2 linked regions of the Arabidopsis thaliana genome follow. The protein of the gene in region 1 purifies or fractionates together with the protein of each later gene. This does not show direct contact. Each region holds a gene or a part of one and is shown in the gene's direction. Other genes may lie near its edges. The genes, in order: KU80 and TAFII21.

Evidence for each region.
Region 2: the proteins of KU80 (region 1) and TAFII21 fractionate together in Arabidopsis thaliana (co-fractionation; one large-scale study listed by BioGRID). This does not show direct contact.

The regions. Positions count from the first base shown.
Region 1 is NC_003070.9:17,721,659-17,727,965, forward strand, and holds KU80 (Ku80 family protein), read left to right. Parts: upstream 1-1,723; 5' UTR 1,724-1,839; coding exon 1,840-1,854; intron 1,855-2,229; coding exon 2,230-2,322; intron 2,323-2,400; coding exon 2,401-2,452; intron 2,453-2,590; coding exon 2,591-2,722; intron 2,723-2,796; coding exon 2,797-3,200; intron 3,201-3,357; coding exon 3,358-3,644; intron 3,645-3,742; coding exon 3,743-3,938; intron 3,939-4,018; coding exon 4,019-4,225; intron 4,226-4,303; coding exon 4,304-4,471; intron 4,472-4,553; coding exon 4,554-4,847; intron 4,848-4,928; coding exon 4,929-5,059; coding exon of another isoform or gene 5,060-5,072; exon of another isoform or gene 5,073-5,137; coding exon 5,138-5,201; 3' UTR 5,202-5,585; downstream 5,586-6,307. Other genes in the region: AT1G48040 (Protein phosphatase 2C family protein), read right to left, coding at 1-40. UniProt on the Arabidopsis thaliana protein: Single-stranded DNA-dependent ATP-dependent helicase. Involved in DNA non-homologous end joining (NHEJ) required for double-strand break repair.
Region 2 is NC_003070.9:20,213,399-20,217,259, reverse strand, and holds TAFII21 (TATA binding protein associated factor 21kDa subunit), read left to right. Parts: upstream 1-1,994; 5' UTR 1,995-2,125; intron 2,126-2,374; 5' UTR 2,375-2,390; coding exon 2,391-2,651; intron 2,652-2,893; coding exon 2,894-3,184; 3' UTR 3,185-3,361; downstream 3,362-3,861. Other genes in the region: SPL2 (E3 Ubiquitin ligase family protein), read right to left, coding at 1-233, 318-437, 620-741, 833-994, 1,083-1,181, 1,409-1,780; RSH3 (RELA/SPOT homolog 3), read right to left, coding at 3,499-3,810.

The DNA.
Region 1 (6,307 bases):
TGATCTCAGCTTCAGCAACCATTGTTTGACTCAAAATCATGACTTGGTTAATAATCAAATGGAGTAGATCCGATTGCGAATTTCACCGAAAGGCAAATCGACGAATAAATCAACGGGGTAAGAGGTGGTGCTTTGCTTGGACGCAATTGAAATTCGCCTAAAAGAATAAAGAAGACAGGGAATGGGGAATTAGGGTTTGGTTTCTGTGTTGGTTGTTTATTTGCATATTTCTTAATTGACCCATGCCTATATTTAATATAATTTATAAATTTTAATGTATTAAAATACTGTTTTAAAAATATTTATTTTACTAAAAAAGAGTTAATTTTTTAAGCCCAACTTCCATATACCATATTGGACAAGAAAGTGTAATAGATTCTTATATATTCTTTGTGATCTCTAGTTTTCTTATCTACTTTTTTTTGTATATTTAAATTCACATATTTCCCACATAACCGCAAATGTTACTTACAAATTCAATGATTCAGAAGATTCCAAAAATCTAACTGGAACATATATAAACTATAAAAAGACTGTTTTTAAATATTTAGTTTAAATTAAAAAGTTTTTTTCAACTTTTAATTTTCTAAGCCCAACTTCCATATGGGACTCACAAAAAAAAAAGGGAAAGGTCCAGTTTTATTTGAGAATATGTAATAAGTTCTTATACATTTTTTGTGATTTTAGTTCTTTTTTTTTTAATCTATTTTTTTTTGTATATCTGAAATTCAAAGTTCCAACCGAACTGCCTATGACGAACAAATTCAATGGCTTAGAAGATTCTAAAAATCCAACCGAAACATATATAAACGGTAAACATAAGACTATTTGATGTTTTAATAAATTGAAATTGATCTTACAAAAAGAAAATATTTAATTGTTGTTACATATCTATTGTTTTTAAAATGCAGAAATTATACCAAATTAAATAATAATATGAGTAAACAAAGTAGTAAACATATAATATATAATCTAACTGTTTTTTTTTAACGTTGAAAGTTCGCAACAACATTTTTAACTATTTGTATGTGTTTTGCATTTTTGAAGAAAAATCATTATTTGACGGCGAAATAAATTACATACGTGTATTCTTGGTTAAGAAACAAGACAAGTGTATACAAATATGTGTGTGGTGACGCGAGGTTGATGATTTTGAGCATTGGGCGTGACTTCACTGAAGTTGATGATTTGATATCCTTTGTGAATAATTGAATCTTGTTCGTTCTTCTAAATGTGGGTTGACTTTCTTTCTCAAAATGCTCTTTGTTCTCCCTTTATCCTCGACGATCTCAAGGTCGGGTCTTACCACATCTTTGCGACATAATTAATATAGGATGCCTACCGATCGGTACATGGAAAAATTCAAGTTTGGGATCCTACTAAAAAAAATATAGGATGCCTACTGAAAAAAATTAAAATATGATAATGTGTTTATGAGGTTTTAAAATGGAAAAATAATTAATATAGTGAAAATAATTTTTTGTAACTGTATTTCTAAACTTTAAATAAAAAGTAAAATTTAATTGTTATGTTTAGATTCAGAGGGATATATACTATATAAGATATGATTCATTACATACTTTATTAAAATACCCATTTTTGTTAAATCTACAGAGTCCATATTGGAAGTTGGACATATGGACTTTTTCTTAGATAGTTTAGCCCAATGGGCCTATCTCATTTTAAGGCCACGTTAGAGTCAGTCAGCCTATTTTCAAAAAAATAAAATAAAAATTCTTCGTCTTCTTCGTTTCACCATCTCTCTTTTTCTCATCATTCTTCTTCTTCTTCTTCTTCTTCTTCTTCTTCTTCACCTTCTTCTTCCAGCACAACTCCTCAATGGCACGAAATCGGGTATAATTTCTTCTAATCTTACTTCGTTACATATTAACCTTCGTTTTTTTTTCTTATAGGTTTCTTCAGAAATCAATTCAATGAAATTAATACCTTCTTCAGCTTCTGTTTGTTTTCCATCGATGTTTCTTTTTCTACTTAGTTTCGTGCATGTTATTCTACATTGCTGCATACCATTTCTTCTTTGATAATTCTGTTTATGCTGATTTTGACTTCGTTTTATGCTCAATTATGTTCTGGATATCTCATTGATTCATTTTTGGAACTGTTCTTGGAGTAATTTAGGGTTTTAATTTGTCATTTCATTTGAGAGAAATTAGTCCTGCTCGATTTTACTTTTAATTCGATGTGTGTGTGTGTGTTCATCGGAAGCAGGAGGGTTTGGTTTTGGTGCTCGATGTAGGTCCTGCGATGCGTAGTGTTCTCCCTGATGTTGAAAAGGCATGTTCAATGCTACTTCAGAAGAAGGTATACGATCTTTTTCTTCTGAAATTATTGTTCATGAATTTTGGATCTTTCCTTATTGGTTTTGGTTTGTTGTTGCAGTTGATTTACAACAAGTATGATGAAGTTGGAATTGTTGTCTTTGGAACTGAAGGTCTCTCTATCTATTCTTATTACTGATTAAAGTAGGAAGTTAGGAATCTATCCTCTTTAGTACTGCAATGGTTCTTTCTTGGAGTATTATCGGCTTGTTGATGTACTTTGATAATAATGTTTCATGTGACCTCTGCAGAAACTGGAAACGAGCTTGCTAGGGAGATAGGTGGATATGAGAATGTTACAGTTTTAAGGAATATCAGAGTTGTTGATGAATTAGCGGCAGAGCATGTGAAGCAGCTTCCTCGAGGAACTGTAGCTGGAGACTGTATCCTGCTAGCTAGTTTACCGCTTATTTTTACTGTTTCGCTACCATTTTCTTGGTTCTTTAACTGGCTTCAGTTCTTGATGCTTTAATTGTTGGGATGGATATGCTTATAAAGATGTATGGTAATGCACACAAGGGGAAAAAACGGATGTGTCTCATCACGAACGCAGCTTGTCCTACCAAAGATCCATTTGAAGGGACGAAAGATGATCAAGTCAGCACTATTGCTATGAAAATGGCTGCGGAGGGAATTAAGATGGAGAGCATTGTTATGAGGTCTAATTTAAGTGGTGATGCTCATGAGAGAGTAATAGAGGAGAATGATCATCTGTTGACTTTATTCTCCAGCAACGCGATTGCCAAAACAGTGAATGTTGATAGTCCACTCTCACTGCTTGGTTCCTTAAAGACCCGGAGGGTGGCTCCAGTTACTTTGTTCAGGGGTGACCTTGAAATTAACCCAACAATGAAGATTAAGGTAACGCTTTTTTGGTTGTGTCTTTTGCTTGTTGTGCAGAGTTTATAGATATCATCGAACTTGCTGTTCTTTGTTGTTATTCAGTACTTAAGTTCATTCACGTTTATATAATTGTTCGTGAAATTTTTTCTGAAAATAAGAATGTGAAATTTTGTAGGTGTGGGTTTATAAGAAAGTGGCTGAGGAGAGACTTCCCACTCTAAAAATGTATTCTGACAAAGCGCCTCCAACTGACAAGTTTGCCAAACATGAAGTAAAAGTTGATTATGATTACAAAGTTACTGCAGAATCTACTGAGGTTATTGCTCCAGAAGAAAGGATCAAGGGCTTTCGCTATGGACCTCAGGTTATTCCTATATCACCAGATCAGATAGAAACACTCAAGTTTAAAACTGACAAAGGCATGAAGCTTCTGGGATTTACTGAGGCGTCAAATATACTGCGGTAAACATAAAGACATATATCTATGTTTGCCTGTAAACTCTTGGTTGTTAAAGTTTGAGAGAATGCTGTTTTGTGTTTTTCTCTGCATGTCAATGAAGACATTATTACATGAAAGACGTGAATATAGTTGTTCCTGATCCAAGCAAAGAAAAATCTGTACTTGCCGTATCTGCTATTGCAAGAGAAATGAAAGAAACAAACAAGGTAGCAATTGTACGATGTGTCTGGAGAAATGGACAAGGCAATGTGGTTGTTGGGGTCCTGACTCCAAATGTGTCTGAAAGAGATGATACTGTAAGTTAATAGTGTTATCTTCTGAAAGGAAAATTTCTATCCGAATCTGACTATTTGATGATCATTTACCTTTTTCGCAGCCTGATTCGTTTTACTTCAATGTGCTACCTTTCGCCGAGGATGTCCGCGAGTTTCCATTTCCTTCTTTCAACAAGCTTCCTTCATCATGGAAGCCAGATGAACAACAACAAGCAGTAGCAGATAATTTGGTTAAGATGCTTGACCTTGCACCTTCTGCGGAAGAGGAAGTACTAAAGCCTGATCTTACTCCTAACCCGGTTTTGCAGGTAATACCAGTTTTATTCTGCTTTGTATAATTGTTGCAGGTAATTTGTCAACTCATACTGATGAAATATTTTTATCAGCGCTTTTATGAATACCTTGAGTTGAAATCGAAATCCACGGATGCTACTTTACCTCCAATGGATGGAACTTTCAAGAGACTTATGGAGCAGGACCCTGAACTCTCTTCCAACAATAAATCCATAATGGACACGTTTCGTGGAAGTTTTGAAGTCAAGGAGAATCCAAAGGTGTGTTCCCCTGAATCATCAGCTTTCAGAAAGGAACCTGAATGATCTCATTCATAACTCTTTGACATGACTTTCATTGCAGTTGAAGAAGGCTTCTAAGAGATTGTTGCGGGATAAACCATCGGGTTCAGATGATGAAGACAATCGCATGATTACTTATGACGCCAAAGAGAACAAAATTGATATAGTCGGAGATGCAAACCCAATTCAAGATTTTGAAGCCATGATATCCCGCAGAGATAAAACTGACTGGACCGAGAAAGCAATCACACAAATGAAAAACCTAATAATGAAGCTTGTAGAAAATTGTACCGACGAGGGTGACAAAGCATTGGAATGTGTACTCGCTCTTCGTAAAGGCTGCGTCTTGGAGCAGGTCTCTTCTATTTTCTCTATCTCGACTTTGTGCATTTTCTCTCAAAACTTTTTCATGGAGTCTTCTTAAATATGTGAGCAGGAGCCAAAGCAATTCAATGAGTTCTTGAACCATCTATTCAAGTTATGCCAAGAAAGAAACTTATCTCATCTTCTCGAACATTTCATGTCAAAGAAGATCACTTTGATTCCCAAATCCGAAGCAGCGGACAGGTTAGTTATATAAACCATCTTCTGTTTAATAACTAAATTGGTCTGATGAATGTTTTTGTTGGTCATTGCTTTAACCAGTGATATAGTAGACGAGAACGCTGGGGATTTCATCGTTAAACAAGAGTCAATGCTCGAGAGCTAACAAAGTCTTCGCTATAACTGATATTGTAACTGTGTTGTCCAAAACGGTACCGTTTTCACTTTTGATATCAAGAACGCTCAGGGAAATTTTTTACCTTCCATAACTAGTTTCAGAAACAACCCTTTTTGTTCGATAACCAGAAGTTTTATAGGAAAACTAATTTAAAAAGAAAAAACAATTTGACATGAGATTTCCCTTAGAGCATCTTCATTGGAGTATCTCAATGAGATCCCCAATCAAAAAAATAATAATTAAAAAATAAAAAGTATGAGAGAAGGAGAATTAAGTTTTTTTCTGCTAGAAACTTTGAAAAACTATTCTCATCCAATTTGGACAGCTGTCACAATACTATTACAGTAGAAACTCTATAAATTAATAATGTTGGGACCATAAAATTTTATTAATTTATAGTGATATTAATTTATCCTATAAATTAATATTTATTAATTTATCCTATAAGTTAATAAATATTAATTTATAGAAATATTTACTTAAAATACAATACTATATTTCTTTTAAAATATTTCTTAATTTAATTTTTTATATGCTTTGTTGTTTGCATATATAATTATGTTAGGTTTTTATTTTTCTTTGACTTCTTTAATTTATTTTTTGGCAATATATTGTGTCTTTATATCTACGATATTAACGTGAACGTAAACGTAAACATGAAGCTTAATCCAATTTTTCTTTACACAAATCTTAGCAATGTTTTTTCAAATAATGTTTTTTACAAAATCAACTATTACGGATCAAATACGCAAATAGTTATGTGAGTACAACATAGATCATACCAGTTGTATTTTAAAAAGAGTTATAATTGTAGTTTAAACAAAAACTTCATATAAAAATTAGTCTTAAAATATATACTTAAGATCTATGATTATTAATTTATAATATTATTGGGACTATAATTTTACATAGGGATTTCAAAAAAATTATTATCTTATTATCTTATCGATTTTGGTTAATTTTTACATTGGCCCGACTTAGGACCGGCAAAATTTATTAAGTTATCGTGTTTATTAATTTATCGAGTATTAATTTATAGAGTTTTTACTGTAGTTCAACTATTAAATAATAATTAATATATCTGTTTTGATTAA
Region 2 (3,861 bases), 2.5 Mb from region 1:
AAACTGGACACTTAGGGTTTAACTCTCGTTCCACGGTTGAAGCACATCGCCTGCAACATACTACATGTCCACAGGGAATAAACGCAGGTACTCTCCTTCTTGACACGCAGATCACACACAATTCTCCATCTGGGATTTCATCTGCATCTTCGGGTTCATCATCGACCACAGAATCGTTCGGTCTCTGTGGCAGTTCTCTCTGATGGTTCCATTGTTTCCATTTATTCCAGGTCCTGAAGATAAGACAGTTAAACAGATTTCAAATCGAAACATTGCCCAAATCTAAAACCAAATCTGATCTCTCACAACTCCAGTACCTGACAGCAGCATAGCTAAGGATGCCAACAGACACAATGCCCAAGATAACGCTGCCCAAGAATATAAAGTTGGTCTGTTCCATAAGGTCCTCAATCATCTTGTCCTTGGTCATCTCTGATCTGCAAAGATTATTCATAAAGATTTATATATGAACAGCAAATAGAGCCTTTCTGCAACAATGGACTAAATCTTGTCAAATGATCAACAGATTGAGAAAACATAAAGAAGAAGATGAAGTAATAATTTGAGCTAGAACGCAGGCAGATATATAAGAACGAAAAATATTCAGATAAAATCTCACAAGAAATAAGGAAGATCTTGGCACGATTTGATTTCAGGAACTCCATTATTAAAACTGTAGATGCCAACAGCTGTTATATCTTTCCCAGGTGGTAAAATCTTCTCTATATCAAGCAGACCAACCTTGGAAGAGAAAGGATTACAAAGTTAGCCAAGAACAAGTAACCATCAGTTCCTCAAAACCAGAAATTTCTTTGAATATATATATACTCACAGGATAATCGGGGTACAAAAAGGCTTGAAGAAACGAAGAATTAATAGGCTGCAAGCGATTATACACAGTGGTAAGCGGAAGAGGTTGCCTTGAGCCATCCATGTTAACAGCGACAAAACTAGAGTTCGATTGCTGATCCTTTCCAACAATGACAAATGGGACCTGCACAAAGCAAAGGATACACAAAACAAGTTTGATCATGGATACAGAGCCAAAGTTGAAAGCTCTGAAGCTGATAGAGAGACTTTACCGTTCTCGTAAAATCAGCACCGTGTTTGCGCAATGATCTCTCCAACATAAACCGGTGACCAGTGGACTGAAACAATCTCTTCCATCCACTATACACATACTGTCAACAACAAAATGATGACATTAGAAACATACATTTCCCTTCTGAGATCACACCAGTACCAACTTACATAATCCTAACTTAATCAATCACAATGAACACCTAATCATGAAGAAATCATCCAAACTCTTTAACCTAAGCCTTTGATAAGAACACAAAGCAAAATTAGGTCAATGTCAATTGCAATTTGAGGGAAACATAAACACTTAGGGTTTAGAGCAACGTACAGTTTGCGTTCTCTGAATGATAAGAGCTTTATCTCCAGTCTCCGGAGAGATTAACACGTTGTTGTTCTTGTAACCCTCATCACCGGAAATTTTCGGTTTGACGACTCCGCGAACCACAACGATTCGCTGATCATTGCTCTTCCTGTTATCGTTAGTCTCTGATTTGTCTTCAGAAGCCGGAAGCAGTGATCGGAGGTCGGAAATGGAGACTTCGGGTGCATCTTTGATCTTCTTCAACGCGGCGTTGGTAGAAGCATACTTGAGAGCAGAACCGACGGCGCTAACAGCTAAAGTCAGTCCGAGGATTGCGCCGTCGAAGGAGAGAGCGATGTCCGTCAATAGATTCAAGAGAGCACGCTCCGGCGAGGACATTGTGGTAATTTCGATTTCAACGTCGTAGACACGGTCACACGGACAAGTAAACGGAAGAGAAATGAGGCTATTATCGGTATTTAATATTATACATTCGACCGTCGTTCTAATTTGGGTCTTTAATGGGCCTATGCACGAGTGAAATACAAAATACTAGTAATAAATAGCGTTTTAGTTAAATTACATTTACACCCTCAACGTTACAGCAGATTTACAAACCAAAACCATAAATATCAGATCTAGAGTGGCAGAGATTAGTATTTCCCGATTCCTCGCCGCCGTTCATCAATCTCTCCGTCGTGTTTCTGCCACTAGCTCTCCACCAAACTTTCTCTCTCGCATTAGGTATTTATCGCCTCTTTATGGCATATAATCTTGTGTTTTGGAACTTATTGATGAAGCTAGGTTAGAATCTCCTTTGTCTTTCTTATCTCCGATTCGTGAAGCTCTAATTCTTATTTATTCGATTTATGTAATGTGTTGCTGTTACACGATGTTTGCTTGTGAGATTCGATTGAAACTTGTGTTGTTGCAACATCAATTCTGTATAAGAAAGGTTCTTAATTTGACTCTGTAGCTTTACTTTTTTTTTAGTTGTTTAGGGATAAACATGGCAGGAGAAGGTGAAGAAGATGTACCTAGAGATGCTAAGATTGTGAAATCTCTGCTTAAGTCGATGGGTGTAGAAGACTACGAGCCTCGTGTGATACATCAGTTTCTGGAGTTATGGTACCGGTATGTGGTCGAAGTGTTGACAGATGCTCAGGTTTACTCAGAGCATGCTAGCAAACCCAACATTGACTGTGATGATGTGAAGCTCGCTATTCAATCCAAAGTTAATTTCAGCTTCTCACAGCCTCCTCCAAGAGAGGTATGCATTGTTGACGATTCCATGTTTCTTCTTCTTCATTGTCTGAGAAGAGATGCGATATGATCGGTCATTTGGTATATGTGAATCATTAGGGAATTATCACTCTTACTTATGACTTATGAACTGTGTGTGACCCTCTTGCCTCATAAATTGTATCACTGAGAACCTCAAGTTTTTGTCTGTCACATCCATGCCTTTTGGTTCCTGAATCTTGAAGTTTCTGTTTTTGATGTTTGATTTAGGTTCTGCTTGAGCTTGCTGCAAGTAGGAACAAGATACCTCTGCCAAAATCGATAGCAGGACCCGGTGTTCCACTCCCACCTGAACAGGACACATTGCTGAGCCCAAATTATCAGCTCGTGATACCGAAGAAGTCGGTTTCAACAGAACCTGAAGAAACCGAGGACGATGAAGAAATGACAGATCCTGGACAGTCCTCTCAAGAACAACAACAGCAGCAACAACAAACCTCAGACCTTCCAAGCCAAACTCCTCAAAGGGTCTCTTTCCCACTCTCTAGACGACCCAAATAAGTACCCAAATAAGTAGATAGACCAAAAAATCTATAATATTTATGTATCAACAAGTAGAAATGTAACACAATCAAAAATTAATGACCAGAGCCAGTTTTTATGGACCAGATCCAGATGTGTGGTTTGAAGATTTAGAATGTAAGAGAATCAAATATTAATGACCAGAGTCAGTTTTTTAGAACATATAGGCATATCTTATATACACTGTTGTGTGGGAATCAACAATACCGAAGGTACAACAAATCTTCTGAAGCATTATACTATATATGCAACTATAGTATATATACATGAACAAAGGTAATTAAGAGAATCAGTTAGCTTCCCCAGCCAACCATGGTACCAGTAGCTGCACGGTGAGGCCGTGAAAACGCAAGCCCTCGATCATACATCCGCTGAATTTCCTCTCTGTATTCAGTCAGAGACTTGTCAGGTATGGCTGGAGTCAGCTCCACCACATCTCCCATCTTCAGCTTGCATTTCAGATCACTTACAGGTGTCTGGTTAAGTCTTGGCCTTAGCTCTTCCTTTGCCGGGATGCTGTACATTGACCATCTCGAGCTCCCTGGTCCTGCTCTGCGTAACAGGTCCGACACGGTAGAATTCTCGGGAAACTCTTGCACAGTCATCTGCATTTTCGGGTTTATCAAATTATAACTCCAAGCAAAGAAACATCCTCA